Mus musculus: one gene and its partner. The protein of the gene in region 1 interacts with the protein of each later gene in a pairwise test. Links are inferred from orthologs where the notes say so. Each region holds a gene or a part of one and is shown in the gene's direction. Other genes may lie near its edges.

Region 1 (10,361 bases):
GGGTGTGGTATATGATATTTCAAGGTACAAAGCCAATGTTCTGAGAGGTGTGGCTGGGGAGGTCATTTTCCTTTGGTCATTGTCATTCACAGATGTTTTTTAGCCTCAGTTCCCTAACTTGGCACCTTTCTGTTTTTCTTCCAGAGTTCCGATCTGGAAAGGCTCCTATCCTCATTGCCACGGATGTAGCCTCCCGTGGGCTAGGTTTGTATAGATAGGTGTCTCTATCAGTGCTTTGTTTATCTTTTGGTTTAAAAAATTTTTTTTGTCATGTCAGATTTGCAATTGTATGTACATGAGTCTAGTTAAAAGAGGGTATAAGTGTGATTTTTTTTTTTTCCCTCCCTGCAACTTTCTTTTAACCTTCATGGGGGTTTTATTATTATTTTGGGTTTTCTGTGGTTCCCACCCCGTTTATTTTCAAAGTTCCGTCTGGCTCCTAGCAGTCTTTGGTCTGTAACAAGGCTTAGACATGACTATTAAATTACAGTTTTATGGCTGGATAGAAGGAGCCTAATTAGACCTAGCCATCAGAAGCTGGTTTCTTTAGTTTTCCCTTATACTAGTCTGTTTACTATAGAAACAGGGAGACCACTTCATGAACATTCACTCAGGGGTTTTGATTGCTCTCTATATAATGTCATTCTATTCAGTCTGCATTGCCCAGTATTACTTCAGTAATATGATTGTCAGTTATCCCTCCCTTTACCCGTTGTTTGGCCTTAGACATGTTTTCCGGTTTAGAACTTGATCTGAAGATAATCTGAAGTTTTCAACTCCTGCTTTAAAATACATACAGATAGCCAGCCTATGACACGCTGACCCAGAATGTTTACATGTATAAGGATTATCTGGGTGTGGTAATACACACCTTTGATCCCCACACTTGGGAGACAGAGGCATGGTTTCCTTAGTTTGAGGCAAACCTGGTATGCATAGTGAGTTGTAGACCAGCCAGGGCTACACTGCTAGGCTCTGTCTCCAGAAAAAGATTTCTTACAGCTAGGCATGGTAGTATATGCCTGTAAATTCCAGCACTTGGAAACCTTAGGCAAGAGATTCATTTGTTTGAGGGCAACCTACGTTAAATAGCAGGGTCTTGTTTTAGAGAGCTGGGGTGATTTCTGTTGGGAGGGAACCATTATTGATGTGTTTAATTTCCTGCTGAGTAAGGTGAGAAGTACCAAGTTTCCCTGTGCAATTTAACATAGAGATGATAAGTATTGAAATGAGTTCAGCAGTGATGGAGCCTTTTTATCCATTCAATTTTACTCCTCCTTGAGGTAGTGAGTGACCTGCAGCCATGGTGGGAAGTTGTCTCTTCCTTCCGAGGTCATCTCTGGGTCTGTGCCCTTAGAACCGGGGCCTGGGAGAGGAGGCAGAAGCCTGAAAGCAATTTACATAAAAAGCTTTCAGTAATGGTGGTTTTTAAAACAGGCTTGCTATGTGCTGGTAGCTTCTTTGTGCATCTTGCCTAGACAATTAAAAATTTGTTCTGTCCTTTTGCATATTTTAAAATCAATTGGCTACCATTAGAATAACTTAGACTCTTCATCCCACCCTCCCTCATTCAAGTGAGGGAGAGGGAAGGTGCCTGAGTCTGTTTCTTGTTACTCAACATCAGTGCTTGTTTTGGGCCCCTTTGTTTGCTGCCTTGTAAAAATCAAAAGGAGGGAGAAAACCCACCACAAATGGCAGAATTCTGACCAAGGTCCTCCAAGATCCTGGAAAGTGAAGGCTTCTACCTCAGACAGGGGTGCTATTTTCAGCTGAGTCACCAGGCCTTTTTTCACTTCTGTGGAGCGATGGTCTCTTAAATGATCCCTTCAGGTAAGTTCTTTGACTCCCATAGTTCCTAATAGTCATCTTGAGGTGACCACTGTTCCCTTTCCACTGGGATATTTTTTATTTTGCTTTTTTCTTTTTTTTCTTTTTCTTTTTTTTTCTTTTTTTGTTTAAACTACACACTGTTGAACTAAAAGTATTGAATTTATTTCATTTTGTTTTTTAACAGAAGCTTTGATATCAACTGCAGATCACTCAGTACATGGCTGAGGCAAATCTCCATTGGCCCGAAGCCACTCTAGATGAGCCTGCTGACTCTCCCAGTTAGTGAGTGGAGTTTCAGGCCATGGCATAGGGCTTTCCAAACCACATGTTCTCCCAGGCCAGGGGCCAAACATATAACTTTGCATTTCTTACCCTGCTACAGCATCGTCTATAAAGACAGCAAGATAATATTGTGGCAGTGCACCAGTAACCTCAGGGCAGCCTGGGCTGGAGAAACCCGATTCTAGGCTTGCTCTTAGGTGGCCTTCAGTCAGCTGTGCACACACAGGACACCCTTCTAGCATGAAGAACTTTTGCACCGTGTCCACCCCTTATCGAGCCCCTCCAGAAGTACTCCCAGCTGTTAGCCTCTGAAGCCCCAGTGCTTGCTGCTTGGAAAGCACGCTTCCGTGCATCCAGTGCAGTAACTCAGCGTGCTCTGTGTCCATGGCCACTCAGTGCGAGTGACTGCGGAGCATTAGTGAAGCTTGAAGAAGTGCTCATGGAGTTAACCCCCGCCCCGCCCCGCCTCACCCTTCCATCCTTGCCCCGTTATATTTTTTTCTTGTGGCATCAACGACCCAAGCCGGAGACTCAAGCTGCCCCCTGTGATAAGTGCCTTCTCGTCTTTCTGGTGTGATTCAGGACTTTAGGGGTCAGTAAAGACTGAGGAGCCTTTATCGTAATAAGAAACAGACATAATGCCCCTACTTCACATGCCCCTAACAACAGCTGAATTTTTTTAAAAATCATCTCCCCCTTACCCCTGAAATTAATCCAGTCTGGGCAATAGATGCAGTCTGACCCTTTGGATGTAACTTTTTTTTTTTTAATTTTTCTACAATCACCCCAATTACCTTGGGGAGGCGTTGGAGGACCTGAAATTTTTACCTGAACCCAGGTTCTCCGGCGCTTGGCAACCAAATGGGGCTACAGAGAAGCATCTAAGCCAGTTCACAGAGCGAGCGTGTGTGGGGACTTCTCACTGCCACGGACCCTTGATGCATGCTCCCCGCGCTCCAGTGGTCCCGTGTCAGAAGGCGGAGTTTTCGAAAGGAGGCCGCCAAATATAAAAGGCAAAGAGACGGGATCGGCTGCAGCGGTTTCCCAAAGGAGGAGGGAGTGTGCATCGGTCTGGTAACAAACAGAGAATGTTTTTTAATTATTTCTATCACAGAAATCTGTGTTTTATCTAGGATATTTTCGGAATATTCTTTGTAAAATGCAGATTTTTTTCCACCAAAAATTAGGATTCTGTTACTAAATTTGCTTGTTAAGTAGGTTAAAAAAAAAAACTACATTTAGCTGAAAGCATTACACTAACATTTGCATACTTGTAAGTTTTAGGGGTTACTCAGCCCAACTCCTAGCCATGTACAGAATATTATATGTGTGTCTCAAGGTTTCATGGTTTTCCCCACAGTCTTTGGCTATTGAATCTTCAGGTCACATAGACAATCTGATTGTTGATACAAGTACTAAGTTTCCAATAACCTTGAGTTGAGTGGAAAAAAACCTCATTTGAGAAGCTGGGCTTGGCAGTAGAGTGAAATTTTAGTGTAATGTGTTCTTGTGATTGAAAAGGGAAAGGTAATCTGGGTGTTTACACAAAGCAAAATAGGTGTGTATTTTGGCTTTGGTTTGCTTTTTAAATACAAGAGCAAGACAGAATCTAACTGTTGAGTCTGAGGATGTAGTGAGTAGATGAAGTGCCTTTCCGTGCTGCTCTGTGACTGGTCTGAAGGTAAGTTGGTTGTATTGTTGGTAGACTGTGCCAGGCTTCTCCCAACAGAGTAAAAGTGATTTGGCCCTGCACTTTAATGGTGGTTACTAAGTTCTTCTACATTCTAGCTTCGAAAGGGGGTGGCACTAGATTTTGTCATTCTGAACTCTGGTCTCAGTGTAGCTCCTGTCAGCATATCATTACAGAAGAGGCAGGAGTTTGGGGTATTGGAGGGAGCTCCCATAGGGTAATCACAAACCAAGATGCAGGGCCTGCCTGTGTCCTGAGTGGCACTGATCCTCTTTTACTCTGTTGGGATGAGTCTTTTTTTTGTACCTACTCAGGGCAGTTACTAACTTCATCTTCTCCCCTCTTGCTGTCATCTGCATTCGTGCTCTCCACCTCTTGGCATGTCTTTACCTTCTCTTTCTCTGCCACATCAACCTACACAATGTCTCCTCATTGACGTGGAAGATGTGGAAGATGTCAAGTTTGTCATCAACTACGATTATCCAAACAGCTCAGAGGATTATGTTCACCGTATTGGCCGAACGGCCCGCAGCACCAACAAGGGCACTGCCTATACTTTCTTTACCCCGGGCAACCTGAAGCAGGCTAGAGAGCTGATCAAAGTATTGGAAGAGGCCAATCAAGCCATCAATCCAAAATTGATGCAGCTTGTGGACCACAGAGGTGGCGGCGGAGGAGGGGGTAAGGGTAAGTCCTGGAATTTTCCAGGTACTGCCAAGGACTTGTAACACTAATTGTGCCATTTTTTTCTGCTGGTTTTTCTTTGTTGGTGAGTTTTTAGTTTTCCTTTTTGTTTGTTTTGTTTGGATGACAAGGCTCTTGTTTGGAGTTGGAAAGAAATTTGTGGCTTTGAATAATCTCATTTTAAGTGAAAAAGTAAGTCTGGTCATTGTGTTACTGTTAGAACCCAGTGTTCTTGTAGTTGAGGATTTAAGACCCATTATTTATTTAAATTTGGGGTTACATGGTACATGTCCAAAATTAAACTAGTAGTACATGCCTGTGAATCTTTTAGTTTGGTTTTTATTCTTTAAGACAGGGTTTCTCTGTGTAGCCCTGGCTGTTCTGGAGCTCACTTTGTAGACCAGGCTGTTCTCAAACTCAGAAATCAACCTAACAAAGCTGTCGCTGTCCAGCCAAGCTTGGGTTTTGTTTTTTCAAGACAGGGTTTTTCTGTATAGCCCTGGCTGTCCTGGAACTCACTTTGTAGACCAGACTGGCCTCGAATTCAGAGATCCGCCCGCCTCTGTCTCCTGAGTGCTGAGATTAAAGGCACGCACCACCACCGCCTGGCGGGTTTGTTTCTTTTATTTATTTGCTTGTTTTATGTATATGAGTATCTACTTGCATGCCAGAAGAGGACATTGGATCCCATTACAGATGGTTGGGAATTGAACTCAGGCCCTCTAGAGTCAGTCAGCTCAGTCAGTGCTTTACTGAGCCATTTCTCCAGCCCCAAGCCTATGTTTCTTAACACATGGAGGTAAAGCTAGGTATGTTATCTTTTTGGGACAGCTTGAGCTTCATAGCTAGACCCTGTCTCTTAAAATTTTAACATAGATAGCTAAACTGTTTTTCCTTCTTGATACCTTTGGAGAATTTGGTAATTTTACCTCATTTCATAGCATAGTATTAACCGAGGCATACAGTTGATCTACAGCTGTGTGGTACACTCAGGTTAAGTTTGGTTTTGTTATCAAGAAGACTCTAAAAGGCACCAAGTTGAGTGAAGTATTAACTTAGAGACTAGCGTTACAGATGAAGAACATGTGTTGAGTATTTCTGTGCCCCTTTATGTTCAGTTTGTTGGGATCACATACTCGGCATTTTCTTCCCACTAGGAGGCCGCTCACGATACCGGACTACTTCTTCAGCCAACAATCCCAATCTGATGTATCAGGACGAGTGTGACCGGAGGCTTCGAGGGGTCAAGGATGGTGGCCGGAGAGATTCTACAAGCTACAGGGATCGTAGTGAAACCGATAGAGCCAGTTATGCTAATGGCAGTGGCTATGGAAGCCCAAATTCTGCCTTTGGGGCACAAGCAGGCCAATACACCTATGCTCAAGGCACCTATGGGGCAGCTGCCTATGGCACCAGTGGCTACACGGCGCAGGAGTATGCTGCTGGCACTTACGGGGCGAGCAGCACTGCCTCAGCAGGGAGGAGCTCTCAGAGCTCCAGCCAGCAGTTTAGTGGGATAGGCCGATCTGGGCAGCAGCCACAGCCACTGATGTCACAGCAGTTTGCACAGCCTCCAGGAGCTACCAATATGATAGGCTACATGGGGCAGACTGCTTACCAGTACCCTCCCCCTCCCCCTCCCCCTCCTCCATCTCGCAAATGAAACTGCATGGCAGGAGTGACTCGTGCAGATGAATTACACATCTAAAGGAACACTGTCTTTTACCCTTCTAGACCTTTTCATTTTTATTTTTTCTTTTCTCAACCATTACGGTTTATCTTTTTTTAATGCAGATAGTTAAAATTTCACTGCCAGGTTTCTTCTGCCCACCCAAAAGATCCAGTCTATAATTACAGATTTTGTAAGAAAAAATATATATACACATAACTGACTGGAAAGAATTAATTTCTTTCCCCCAGCTTAATGCATGTTGAGGATATTGAGCTATTTTTCATCTTAAAGGTATTAGGCACTTTTGTTGGAGCCTGTTTATCCATGGGAGGGTGGGTAGGGAAGGAGGGACTGCTCTGCAGGAAGTGGTATCTGTTCTTTAGACTGCTCTCCTTAGGGAGGAGCCAAGAGGGATTTCCATGCACACTGCCCATGGTGGGTTTAAGTTACTGAAGTTCGATTACTCAGGCCTGATGAATTTTTAAGACTGCTTTGTTGGTCATTTGGCTGATGGCTTCTTATGTGCATTCAACAGTTAAAAATTCCTAATCGATTCTGTCATCATGCCCCCTCCCCACTTGTTCCTGCAGTTATTAAATATTAACCAGGTTAGTGTTGAGTTAGAAATTACATTTCTGAGTTCAAGCGTTGTCTTTTTAAGTTTAAAAAACTATAAAGGGTTGTTTTTACTAGGTAGACTGGCATCTGGGTAGAGGCTGCCTGGGATTTTTATCCCCACATAACCAGGGGCCATCTGAAAGTCATTTTCTAGCCAGATCAGCCACTGAGCGGTAAGCATCAGCGCTCAGCAGAGCCTTCCGAGCAGCATTTAGAAAGCACCTTTGGGAATGATGGACTGCAAGGGAGTGGGCGGATCTTCCTCTTAAACAGTATTCTTAGAGTAGGATTGACCTCATGGGCTGCTCTGCCCACTTGGTCAGGCTCTCCTGAGCAGGACTGCTAAAGAGCTTGCCTCCTCAAAGCCTGGTCTCTGAGGTGCTTTCTAACAGCTGGAGGCACTTGTTCTGGGCTTTCCTTTGCCCTCAGTTTTTCACAGGTAGGTAGTAGCCATGGAGGGCTGAAGCCCAGGCTCTCCTTACTCTCTGGAGTGTGAAGGTAGGGGTGAGCTCGTCTCACCCCTTTATTAAATGCTCCTGGAACTTGGAAGAGCAGCAGATGAAGTTGGAAAGAAAATTCTGCTCTTATCACCTAAACAGGACAGGAGAGCAGATGCCCCAGCGCCTCTAGTAGATGGTAGTGGTGGGGCTAGTGTGTGGCTGTTACCTGGGCCGCTCAAATTCATTCCAGGGAGGAGGCTCCACTGCATTCTTTGGCTGTGCCCTGAGGGTGCCTGCTCCTTTGTACGGTAACAGTCAATTTTGAGGTTTCTTTCAGGAAGAGAAAGGGATGGTTTTGAGGGGCTCAGAAAATAGGATTCAGTGTGTAACATAACAGGTAGGTTGTCAGCATGCTTGGCATTCTTCTGTTTTCCTTACCGTTTTACAGACTATGAAGCTGAGGGGGGATGGTAGGCACAGATGTGTGGCAACCCTGCTCTGTGCTCTGAAACCAAAGTGTGTCCTGTCTTGTCTGTCTCTCACCCTGCCAAAAGCAAGTGTCTAATCACTGATGCTGACCAGCCTGTTACAGATACTTTCTACAACCAAATTCAGATTTATTTTTTATTAAGCATTATACCATGGGCTGTCCTGTGCTCCTGTCACTCTTCAAAAACACCCCTTCTATTACTGCCTCCGGGGATGAAGCAGTAGCTAGGTTGCTTAACCTCCCCTCTCCAGCAGAGGCATAATCCAGATAAGTAGCAGATGTCATATTTCATAAGCTCTTTTGGCCTGGGTACAGCAGAAAACTAGCAGTTTTCCTACTTGGCGCAAGTGACTTGTGCCTCCTTGTCTGTCCTTTGTCAGCACAGGTGCAGGCAAACCCTTCCAGCTGGGTTAATTGCCGTTTATGGTTTACTCACTTAGGGAAAGGGCTTAGGTGTTAGGCTGTGGGCTGCTTCTCCCTAACCATCCATTGTGCAGACTTCTCATCTAAAAAGGTTGGTGGCTTTTGCTTGGGATCAGTGCTCTGCTAACGCCCTTGCTGGTCTCTCCACACATTCCTGTCATTGAGACTTGAATTGTAGGTGTGATGTTATGCACAGGATGCTCAGAGCTATGTTACTACTATTCTTAGTTTGTAAATTGTCCTTTTGATACCATCTTGTTTTCTTTTGTAGGTATAAATAAATACTTGACAATAAAGGTGTGAATTTTTTATTACATTAAAACTTAAAAAGAGTTTAAGTGTACTCTTAATGTTTTCCTCCAAGCAGTGAAAACATTAAGCAGGGTGAGTGTATTAGGCATTCTATTTAGCACCTCAGGCTGGGAGGGGAAGGCTACATTGGTGGTTCTTAGCACAGAATGGATTTACACAGTGGCCATGGTGTCCATCTCAGCTAACAAGTGAGCTAAGCAGTCCTAAGCACTTGGCAGAGCTGGTTATTTGGACTGCTTACAGCTTGCAGGCCAGGTGGACATGTGGCTCGAGTTCAGCACGCTGACCTAGGGAGGTTCTCTGAATGGATCTTCCCAGCCCTGGGCATGAGTTGTATAGTCCTAAGGAAGCAAGGAGTTGAGCCACTCACGGAGGTATCTACTGCTTCTCTTCACTTGGCACTTGTAGGGCACCATCCTTGGGCAGATGGGCTAGGTATCCCATTCTATCCATGGTGGATTAGGGAGGTGCTGCCGTTTATCCCAAGATGGTGCTTTGCTCAAATTCACACCAGTCACTCTAACATGAAGTCCCAAGTCTTGGCTTGAAGTCATGAAGCAGTGATCCGGATGGTTTGCTTTAGCTGCCATAGGGGTGGCCCTTCTCTTCAAACTGGCACCGGGAGGCTTAATTTCTTTCCTTTAAGGACTAAGGAAAAAAAGATAAAATTTTACTATGTGTTGTACTTAAAGAAGAATTCCTGCCCCCCTCCCTCCACTTTAGCTGGCCTTGAACTGGAGATCGCCTGCCTTTGCCTCCCTTGTTACTTGTTGCGGGTCACCCGTGGGGTTTATGCTGTTTCCCCCCACTTTGGTTACTGGTGTTCTTACATCATTTTAGATGAGTATGTCTACTCCATTCCCATAGCCTGTGTCTATCCATCCCAACCCTGTTTTTAAACTGCCCTGATTAGTCTCTGCATGGTGGCTGCTGGGCATGGTGACACAATAACAAACCCCATAACCTAGATCCCTGGGGTTCTGTGTGAACTTAGTTTCCTTGCGTTTCAAGGTCTACTACTGCTAACAGCTGCTTCGGGGCTTTTGGAGATTGAGGTTTTCCCAACCAAGTTTGTCAGAAGTCCTCAGTTTTCCTGTCTGTGCACGTTGCTGATTGCTATTGGTCTGTGCCTCCCCAGATCCAAATAAGCTCCAGAGGGATGAACCTTGGCTCTGCCTCAGACCAGTTGGAGTAAGTCTGGCCCTCAGGGAGTGACACTGTTGGGAGGCCTTGGAGGACTCCTAGTGTTCAAAACTCCCGGACAAACACATGAAACGGCTTTCTCCTGGCAGGAGCACTCCTCCCTCTGGAATCAAAACTTGTAGGCCAATCGAAAACAGGAAGCAAACATTTTCCTAGTGGGTTACTAAATGGAACTACTCCCTTCTCCACCCCTTGATTCCTGGACCCATGGATCCTAGTTATAGGAGAAACTCTACCGTGTATCAGACACTGATTCAAAGCATATGTTGCCTTCAGTAGATACCTGCCCCAGCCTTCAACGCCTGGCTCTACACAGTGCTACATTTCCTCCAACAAGGGCATACCTATTCTATAAAGGACATGCCTAATAGTGTCACTACCTGTGGGCCAAACATTCAAACAGGTATGTTTACGGAGGCTAAACCTATTCAAACTTATACAAGTACCAGACATAAGAGTGCACAGTGACCAGCACTCAGGAGGCAGAGGCAGGCAGATTTCTGAGTTCCAGGACAGCCAGGGCTATACAGAGAAACCCTGTCTTGAAAGAAAGAGAGAGAAAGCAAGCAAGCACCGTGACACAGGACCAGTGCCTACCTTTGGTCACATACAAGTAGAAGAAGTCACAGTAAAAGATGGTTTGAACAACTCCAGACACTACTGAGATCTGGTCATAGAAGTTCTCTGTCTGGTACCGCCTGATCCAGTTGGCCAGAT
Region 2 (9,392 bases), on another chromosome or scaffold:
ATGGTGGTGTACCCCCTAATGCTTGCCTAGGACTGGAGACTGTGAGCTAGACATGGTGGTGCACCCCCTAATGCTTGCCTAGGACTGGAGACTGTGAGCTAGACATAGTGGTGTACCCCCTAATGCTTGCCTAGGACTGGAGACTGTGAGCTAGACATGGTGGTGCACCCCCTAATGCTTGCCTAGGACTGGAGACTGACTGTCCAAGAACACGGAGGAGGGAGGCTCAGACTGGTGCTGCTGTTTTTCCTGTTAATGCTCTGTAGGGATCCACTTCCAAACCGGCAGGAACTGACCTGTTAGCACTGACTGCCTCGGACAGACGGTGGCAGTTGGTTGACAAGGACTGAAAGATGTCCGCCTCTGAGAGCTTTTCGAGTTTGCTGTAAATTTTCCCTTACCATGGCAGAAACCCAAATGAAATGGTATTTGTAAAATAGGCGGTGTTTCCAACACCGCAAAACAGAATTCCAGAAAGGCGGGGGCTTTAGAGGCTGTGCATTGCCGTCCCGAGGAGTAGGGCAGCCCTGCTACTGCTTTGAACAGTTGGATTTCTTCAAAACCACAACCGGTTCAAATTATACTCAAAACGAGAGCTGATAGGAGAAAGGATGAGCTGTATTTGGGTTCTTTAAGAAAAACTAATATTCTTTCAATTCAGAAGTGTTGGCTTGAGGCTTTGAGCCACTTTTCATGGTCTTAGTGTTAGTTGGGAAACAAATTCCGAAGACTTTGGTCCTAGGAGTTGAATGGCTCAGCACCATACAACTGGGTTTCTGTATGTTTCAGAATGCTCAGCATGTGGAAGTAGAGAGCATCCCTTTGCCAGACATGCCGCATGCTCCTTCCAACATCTTGATCCAGGACATTCCTCTTCCTGGTGCACAGCCCCCCTCCATCCTGAAGAAAACCTCAGCGTATGGGTAAGGAAGCCTTACATAATGGAGGGTGGACTGCAGGAGCAGGCCCGGCTAGCACAGCAGCAGCACGGGGTGCTGTGGCTGAGCGGACGGGACATGAGAGCCTGGAGAAGGTTCCTGCCACTCAGCGCCACTGTCCTTCTCCCCCTCCACAGGCCTCCAGCTCGGGCCGTGTCTATCCTTCCTCTCCTGGGACATGGTGTTCCCCGCTTGCCCCCTGGCAGAAAACCGCCCGGCCCTCCACCTGGCCCCCCTCCTCCTCAGGTTCTGCAGATGTACGGCCGGAAAGTGGGCTTCGCTCTAGATCTTCCCCCTCGGAGGCGAGATGAGGACATGCTGTATAGTCCAGAGCTTGGTAGGCAGGGGCAGGGGTTTCCTCCCGTGCCCTTCTCAGTATTGCTTCCATGCTGACCATAGTTAACGTTTGCTACACGGAGAACACAGGAACGCCATGAGGATGCTGTGCTCTTCTGCTGTGTGTCCCTGTGGATAATTTAGCACATCTGCCTGATGAAAGCACCTTAGATAGAATGTTGCTGCAGTTCCCATAAGACAGGAAGAGGTCTTCTCAGTTTCATCAGCGCTGACAAGAGTCACTGACTGTGTGTGAGACTTTACACAATTGTTTCTAATACAGTGTGTTTGCACTTCTTACAAGAAAACAAAAAAGTATTTAAAACTATTACCCAACGCAAATGTCATCATAATACATGGTAGCTGGCATTGCATATAGAAATGTTTTGCAAGTAATGTTGAGCCAAAATGGCATGCCTATTTTTGGATACCAGAGGGCCAACCGTGTCATGTGACTCTCGTGCTCTTTCTGTCATCAGCTCAGCGGGGTCATGACGATGACATGTCCAGCACCAGTGAAGACGACGGCTATCCTGAGGACATGGATCAGGATAAGCATGATGACAGTACTGAGGACAGTGACACTGACAGGTCAGATGCAGAGAGTGACGGGGATGAGTTCGGGCACCGCGAGGACAGTGAGCGCGACAACACTGAGGAGAAGAAGTCAGGTGTGTGCGGGTTAATGTGCCGGGCGTAGATGAACACCGCTGACCCCGGTGCTGAAAGCCCTGGCTTTTGTTAATTAGGTTCAGTGTGTGCGCGCCCGAGTGTACATGCGTGCTAGAGCATCTATGTGGCAGTCCCAGTTGGTTTTCCCGATCCACTGCACAGGGGGTGGGGATGCAGCTTGGGTGATTAGGTTTGGTGAGCCAGCTCACCAGTTCAGGACCAGCTTTTAGCTCCAGTTTGGTTTGGCTTGGTTTTGAGACGGGTGTCTATCACTGTTAATTAGGCTGGCCTCGAGCTCATGGTGACCCTCCTGCTTCAGCCTCCCAAGTTGTGGAGTTAGAAATAAATATAAGCCACCGTACCTGGCCATTTATTTGTCTTGATAGTTTGAAAGGTTTTGACATATTATTCTTACAGGTGTTTGTGAGGAAAGAGTAAGTATATGTAGTTTTTTAAAAGTTATGCAAGAAATTCCACTTTGAGGCAAAAATTGCTAATATACTCTATGATGAACGTGCAGTAGGAAAGGAAGAACATGCATGGTTTTAAATAAGCTTGTGTGCGTGTCTACACTGGGAGCTGGGTTTTCTGTTCTTCATGGGGCCTTTCATAAACTGGGTGACCTTTGTAATTCATATATACTTGTAATTTTATATATAATATATGTGTGTGTATATTATATATTAAATATTTTATATACATATATGTGTCTATACACACATTACATTAACATGTATAATTATATACTATGTATATGTATAAAAGTGTATTTTTCTATATGTCTGCACTGTATTTGTATTTAGAACCATACGCCTGTTCCTTCAAAGCTGGTCACTGGTTGGGAAAGCACCTGTGTAGCGCACTTGGCCTGCATGTAAACAAACCGTTCTCCAAGGGTCAGCTGTGAAGCACCGTTCAGAAAGATGTGTGTGTGTGTGTGTGTGTGTGTGTGTGTAGTGCTGGGGAGTAAGCCTAAGACTTGATGTATATTAAATATATTCAGTTCTGCTGTGTCCTCAATTGTGTGCACACTGTATGTTACGTTTTGTCACAAAAATTTTAAGCACTGTGTTTGGGTACTAAGCAGTGCCAAGCACACACTGAGTGTGTCAGAGCCTAGTAGCCGGGGAGCTTCTTAGGGGCTGTAGCTGTAGTCTCCAGGACGGCATCTGTATACTGTGGTTTTATTTATAAGATCAGCAAGTGACTCTCTTTTTTTTTTAATTGTGTGTGTCTGTGTGCCTCCTACACTTGCGTGTGCCTTGGAGACTACACGGCACTAGATCCCTCAGAGCTGGGTTGTCCAGAGCCCTCTGGAATGCATTAGTGCTCCTTAATCATGATTACGAATGAAAGAAAAGCTTATCAAAAAACTATCATAAATTGGTGTAGGAGCAAGCCTGATCTTGGAAAATTATAGAAGACTCATAAGTTGGAACTGGTCTTAGAAAGGAGAGTGGGGTAGAACTCCAAGTGCAGGACTCCCCTGTAAGACTGCATCCTCTCTCTACTCTGCGGCTGCCAGCTGCTGCTGAGGTCCTGGGGGGTGGCGCTGGGACAGGGTCTTCTGTGTAGCCTTGGCTAGCACAGGACTTACTGACTGGCCTTGAACTGACTGAAGTCCACCTGCTGCTTCCTACTGAACGTTGTGTTCCCCAGTGTGTGTGGACCTCAGATGGCTGGCCCAGCTGCACGTCCTCTCATCTGCTACTGCCTTTACCATAGCCAGGCATTTTTCTGGGCAGTAAAAGTCCAAGATACACTAAAGCTGAACCCACATAGAAATAAATATTCCCTTCCTTAAGTGTTGGCTAAGATGTCAGACACCAGATCAGAAGTGCAGTATCTGTCAGGGTTACTGAAAGATTCTGTAGTGGAAGTGGTGTTGGGGACCGATCATAATCTTTAATCACCTGTTAGAGTATTACTAAGATTTTCCCACCTTTTATGGGGCCTTTTGTCATGATTAGATTACTAATTTTCTAGTGTAAACCATTGGGTACTTTTGGTGCACCCTGCATGCTATGATCGATTTTCCTTACCCAGCACTGTCAGACTCAGTTGTGTTATATTTTATGTTGGTTAATAGGGTATGCTGGTTTCCTGAGTTGGTCAGCTTTCATCTTTTCTGTGACTTACTGTTTTGCTGAATTGCTAAAGAAAATTGTTGCTTTAAGATACATCTTTACCGTTTCAGCTTTTATGTTTAGGGCTTAAAATTGAATTATCTAATTCAGTTTATATACTTCTTAAGTATCCTAACATTTTCTGAACATTAAGTTTTAAGTTAATGCAGTATATTTCATAAGCAACCAATTAGCACAACGCTGATTTCCTGTAATGTCCCTGTACATCTGCCTTGTATCGTGTAATGGGTTACAGTCATTCATAGTACTTACAGCGTCTGCTCTATGGTGACCATTTTTACAACATTTGATGATTCTTTCCCGTTTCATCCTTTCTTGACTGTTTAGGTCTAAGCGTCAGATTTGCTGATATGCCTGGGAAATCAAGGAAGAAGAAGAAAAACATGAAGGAGCTGACTCCTCTTCAAGCCATGATGCTGCGAATGGCAGGTTAGAAGCAAGAAGGAATGGATCTCTAGCATTTCCTTGTGCCACTTGCTTAGCATATAGTCTTCCATTTATAGTCAGCAGCTCTGAAATAAGCCAGGAATCTGTATTCTGTGAAACTTAAGATATGGAGCCATTTGGTGGGGTGCCCAGAGTTTTGGGGCTAGTGAGCCGCTGAGACAACTCGTTCTGGGAGGCTGTGCAGCATCTGCTCTTGAGCTGGCATATGGAGCCTGTGGGAGTCAGCTTTTCTGTGGCTGCTGCTGGGTCTCAGGAATTGAGCTCTGGTTGTCAGGCTCATTAGCAAGCCCTCTTGCAGCCCTGAGTGCTATTTAATTCCAAGTCTGTCTTGTCTGACAGCCTGGGATTTATACTGCTGTACTAGTTAAAGATGCACCGTTGTGTATTTCAATAGTCGGTAAAAAGACTTGGATTGTTGATTTTTTAAGAATAAATTTTCTTATTTTTATTTACTTATTTATTTATTTGGTTTTGGGAGACAGGGTCTACCTGTGTAACCCTGCTGTCCTGGAACTTACTATGTAGACTAAGCCGACTGTGAAGTCAGGTCATCTTGCACTTGTCCCAAGTGCTGGATTAAAGGCATGTGCCACCACACCCAGCTGTGGTGTACTCTTGGCCACTGCTGTTCTCCAAGCGGTAAAACAGAAATCAGCTATTTTTCCATTTTTCAGGTCAGGAAATCCCTGAGGAAGGACGGGAAGTGGAGGAATTTTCAGAGGAGGAGGATGCCGACGACTCGGATGATTCTGAAGCCGAGAAGCAGTCGCAGAAGCAGCATAAAGACGATGGCCACTCTGACAGCACGGCTGCAGCCTCTTCCCAGCAGCAGGCTCCTCCACAGTCTGCTCCTGCTTCTCAGATACAAGCCCCTCCCATGCCAGGACCACCACCTCTTGGACCACCACCTGCCCCACCCTTACGGCCTCCTGGACCACCTACAGGCCTTCCTCCTGGGCCGCCTCCAGGTAAGCACCCCCAGGGCGAGGAGCGCGAGCTCTGAGCCGGAGTGAGGGGGGCGAGGAGCGCGTGCTCTGAGCCGGGGTGAGGGGGGCGAGGAGCGCGTGCTCTGAGCCAGGGTGAGGGGGGCGAGGAGCGCGTGCTCTGAGCCGGAGTGAGGGGGGCGAGGAGCGCGAGCTCTGAGCCAGGGTGAGGGGGGCGAGGAGCGCGTGCTCTGAGCCGGGGTGAGGGGGGCGAGGAGCGCGTGCTCTGAGCCGGGGTGAGGGATCCTTCAGAACAATGTGTGTCGTCAGTCAGCACTGAGGCTTTCGGTTGAGGCTTCCAAGGGAAGGAAGACCCTTCCAGTCTGTGAGCATCGTTAGCAGCTCGGAGTTCTTACAGTCGCCTCTTCTTAAGGATCTCTTATTTCTGGTTTTGTAAGCTGGACACTTGTGCATAGTTGTACTTTGTTTAGTACTTTATTGTGACAGACTAGCCCAGCCCTGCATTGGTGTTGCTTAATACAGTCTCACGTACCACAGCTGGGACCTAGAAGGACCAGATGGACCGAACTATAACGGACCTGATGGCCTTTTTATAGAGCTCAAATATATGTTGAATGAGTTTTATTTCCATTGCTTTTTATTTAAATGCCATCTCACTTCTGAATAAAATGATTATGTGAGTCGCTTTTATACCACAAATATTTATCTGACTGACATTGGTTTTCTTCTTTCAGGGGCTCCTCCATTCCTGAGACCACCTGGAATGCCAGGAATCCGAGGGCCTTTACCACGACTTTTACCTCCAGGACCACCACCAGGCCGACCTCCTGGCCCTCCCCCAGGCCCACCTCCAGGTCTGCCCCCTGGACCCCCTCCTCGGGGACCCCCACCAAGGCTACCTCCTCCTGCACCTCCAGGTAAAGTTTTTCAGTGTGACAAGAGCTAGGCATGGCTGTACGCTCGGTGGGTCTCTGAGGACATCTAGCAGAGGGTCTGCAGGAAAGTGTGTTCTGCACGAGCCTTTCCGTTGCTTTCCACTCATCCCTTGAGGCTGGCAACAGTGAGCAGGTTCTCTGTCTGAGCTGTGTGAGAACAGGCACAGCTGCGCCCCATGCTCTACACAATTACCATCTTCAAGTTAGATCACAAGAGAGCCTCCCTCCTCTCTACCCATTGTCCGAGTTAGTCCTGCAAATGTCATAATGGGATTTTTTGGCTAAGCACACTGAATGTTCTACTGTGTCCGAAGATTGCTTTTAAAACACAACAGCTGGGGCTTTGTCTTTGTCTTGGTTTTGTGTAGGAAAACTGAGTTTACGTAATCAGTTCTGACTGGATGCAGGTTTGATTCTTACGTGGCATTTGAAGAAACCACAATCTGATGCGGGATATGTATGAGTTGCAGCTGTCAGAATTACGTAACCCTGAAAAGACTGACCATAGTCTGCCCATTTCCAGTGACTGAGCAGGACAGAATCCTTCCCTGTCCCCTGTGTGAACGTGGTAGAAACTAACTAGTACTCAGGAATCGACTGCCCCTTGATCTTAATAACTTCACACCAGACAGCCAGGACAGGATAGGATAGCATCCTGGACCTTCCAGATTGGAAACTGCATCTGCCACCAGTTGGCATTGTCAGCTTGATGGTACAGTTTTCAACTGGGACCTGAGTTCAGGGATCAAGACTAAAGGCAGATGTAACTTCAAAGTATTATGTTTCTTTCTATCAGAATATATTTCTGCCTTTCACATAGCAGGTTGTGTGAGTTCAATTTAATTCCTGTAAATAACTTGCCTAAAAAGCAGTCTTAGCCTATGTCTAAACTTCCTTTTTTTTTTTAAAGATTTATTTATTTATTTATTTATTTATTTATTTATTTATTTATTTATTTATTTATTTATTTATTTATTGTAAGTACACTGTAGATGTCTGTCCTCAGACCCTCCAGAAGAGGGAGTCAGATCTCATTACGGATGGTTGTGAGCCACCATGTGGTTACTAGGATTTGAACTCCTGACCTTCGGAAGAGCAGTCGGGTGCTCTTACCCACTGAGCCATCTCACCAGCCCCCTAAACTTCCTTTTTTTAAAAGATTTGTTTATTTATTTTATGTATATGTGAGTACACTGTCACTGTCTTGACACAGCAGAAGAGGTCCCATTACAGATGGTTGCGAGTCACCACGTGGTTGCTGGGAATCAACCTTCAGAAGAGCAGCCAGTGCTCTTAACCACTGAGCCATCCCTGTAGCCCATGTCTAAACATCCTTAGTGGCAGTTAAATGTCGCCAATTCTTGTACTCATCCTCTCTCCTCTTCCTTTAGGTATCCCTCCTCCTCGTCCTGGCATGATGCGCCCACCCTTGGTTCCTCCTCTTGGACCTGCCCCGCCTGGCCTTTTCCCACCAGCTCCCTTGCCCAACCCAGGGGTGTTGAGTGCCCCACCCAGCCTCATTCAGCGACCGAAGGCGGATGATGCAAGTGCCGCCACCATCGAGAAGAAAGCCACAGCGACCATCAGTGCCAAGCCCCAGATCACCAATCCCAAGGCAGAGGTCACACGGTTTGTGCCCACTGCACTGAGGGTACGCCGAGAGAATAAGGGGGCTACTGCTGTTCCCCAAAGAAGGTCAGAGGATGACTCTGCTGTGCCTGTTGCCAAAGCAGCCCCGAGATCTGGTCCTTCAGTTGCTGTCTCAGTACAAACTAAGGACGATGTTTATGAAGCCTTTATGAAAGAGATGGAAGGGCTGCTGTGACAGGGCCTCCTGCCAGGACAGGCTTCTGTTCAGAGTACTGGTTTGTGGAACAAGAGGCTCTTATTACAGTGAAGAGCAATGTCCACTGTCAGGTGTTTTCCAAGTCCAGTTCCAGGAGCCTCCTCATGTTTGCCTGCTGGGATCCCTGCACAAGGTGTTTCTTTACAATAGACCAGGATGTGAAGCACTGCTGCTAACCCCTGCTCCCTGTGACATCACCATCTCCTCCCTCTCTTCCTCTCTCCATTTTGGGAATTCTGTCAGCGAGGTCTTAGTTACTTGTTTTTGACTCATGTGCCGTGGGCACTAGAGTAGAGAATTCTGGAGGAAAAAAGTTTATTTCATCTTGACTTTTGTGTTTGAGTTATTTTTAATATTTTCCTGTAAATATTTTGTAATATTTTCCTTGTAGTGAAATGGATTACAGTATCATTTCCTAATTCAAAACAGGATATGTGGGAAGAAAATATACAATTCTGGGATTAAAGTTACTTCCCACAAGCTAAACTCTTTTGAGTGTTTCATGGACAAATAAAATGTTCCATACCAAGATACCTTCTGTGTTTGTGTAATGTGTAAACAGTTCATCTGGCTGGTGGGCAGAAACAAACAAGTTTGTAGTTTGGTTCTCAGGAACTGCCATTTCTCATGCAGAATGAGAATGGATTTTATTAGAATGTAAAAGGTAACTTTGAAATCTACAGGGATAAAGAGGAAGAATTCCTTCAAGATTATATTGACTTCCCAGAACGTCAGAGGGGTGCACAATGTCTCCACTTTGACTGCTAGGATGGGGGACTCCAGAGGACACAGAGCTGTGGGGGTGGTGGTGTGTGAAAGTTCCCAAGGCTCATATACGTGGACGTGGTTTTCCCCAGTTGGTGGCACTGTTGGGGAAGCTTGAGAGCCTGGCTTTGTTGGAAGAAGTACATCCTGGAGGCAGGCCTTGAGAGTTGGAAAGACTCCTTCTCCAGTTCTGGTCTGTGCCTGCTGCCGTGCATTTCCTACAGTCATGTGCATTGTGTTATGCAAGGCACACCTTAGCTGGCCTGCATCTCATGCAAATCCTAGAGCATTAAAGATGTGTTGAAAGATGCTGAGGCTAATGCTTTCCTAGTCCTCATGCATTTCAGGTTCTCCTTGAGATT

Evidence for each region.
Region 2: the proteins of Ddx17 (region 1) and Wbp11 interact in a two-hybrid assay, tested with the Homo sapiens proteins (3 studies listed by BioGRID and IntAct). The link is inferred for Mus musculus from reciprocal best matches to the Homo sapiens genes DDX17 and WBP11.

The regions. Positions count from the first base shown.
Region 1 is NC_000081.6:79,525,800-79,536,160, reverse strand, and holds the end of Ddx17 (probable ATP-dependent RNA helicase DDX17), read left to right. Parts: intron 1-144; coding exon 145-204; coding exon of another isoform or gene 205-218; exon of another isoform or gene 219-3,186; intron 3,187-3,243; exon of another isoform or gene 3,244-4,182; coding exon of another isoform or gene 4,183-4,246; coding exon 4,247-4,483; coding exon of another isoform or gene 4,484-4,489; intron 4,490-5,643; coding exon 5,644-6,149; 3' UTR 6,150-8,465; downstream 8,466-10,361. Other genes in the region: Kdelr3 (ER lumen protein-retaining receptor 3), read right to left, coding at 9,049-9,089, 10,242-10,361. UniProt on the Homo sapiens protein: As an RNA helicase, unwinds RNA and alters RNA structures through ATP binding and hydrolysis.
Region 2 is NC_000072.6:136,813,060-136,822,451, reverse strand, and holds the end of Wbp11 (WW domain-binding protein 11), read left to right. Parts: intron 1-789; coding exon 790-923; intron 924-1,075; coding exon 1,076-1,275; intron 1,276-1,753; coding exon 1,754-1,945; intron 1,946-4,420; coding exon 4,421-4,522; intron 4,523-5,214; coding exon 5,215-5,508; intron 5,509-6,218; coding exon 6,219-6,401; intron 6,402-7,810; coding exon 7,811-8,244; 3' UTR 8,245-8,798; downstream 8,799-9,392. UniProt on the Homo sapiens protein: Activates pre-mRNA splicing. May inhibit PP1 phosphatase activity.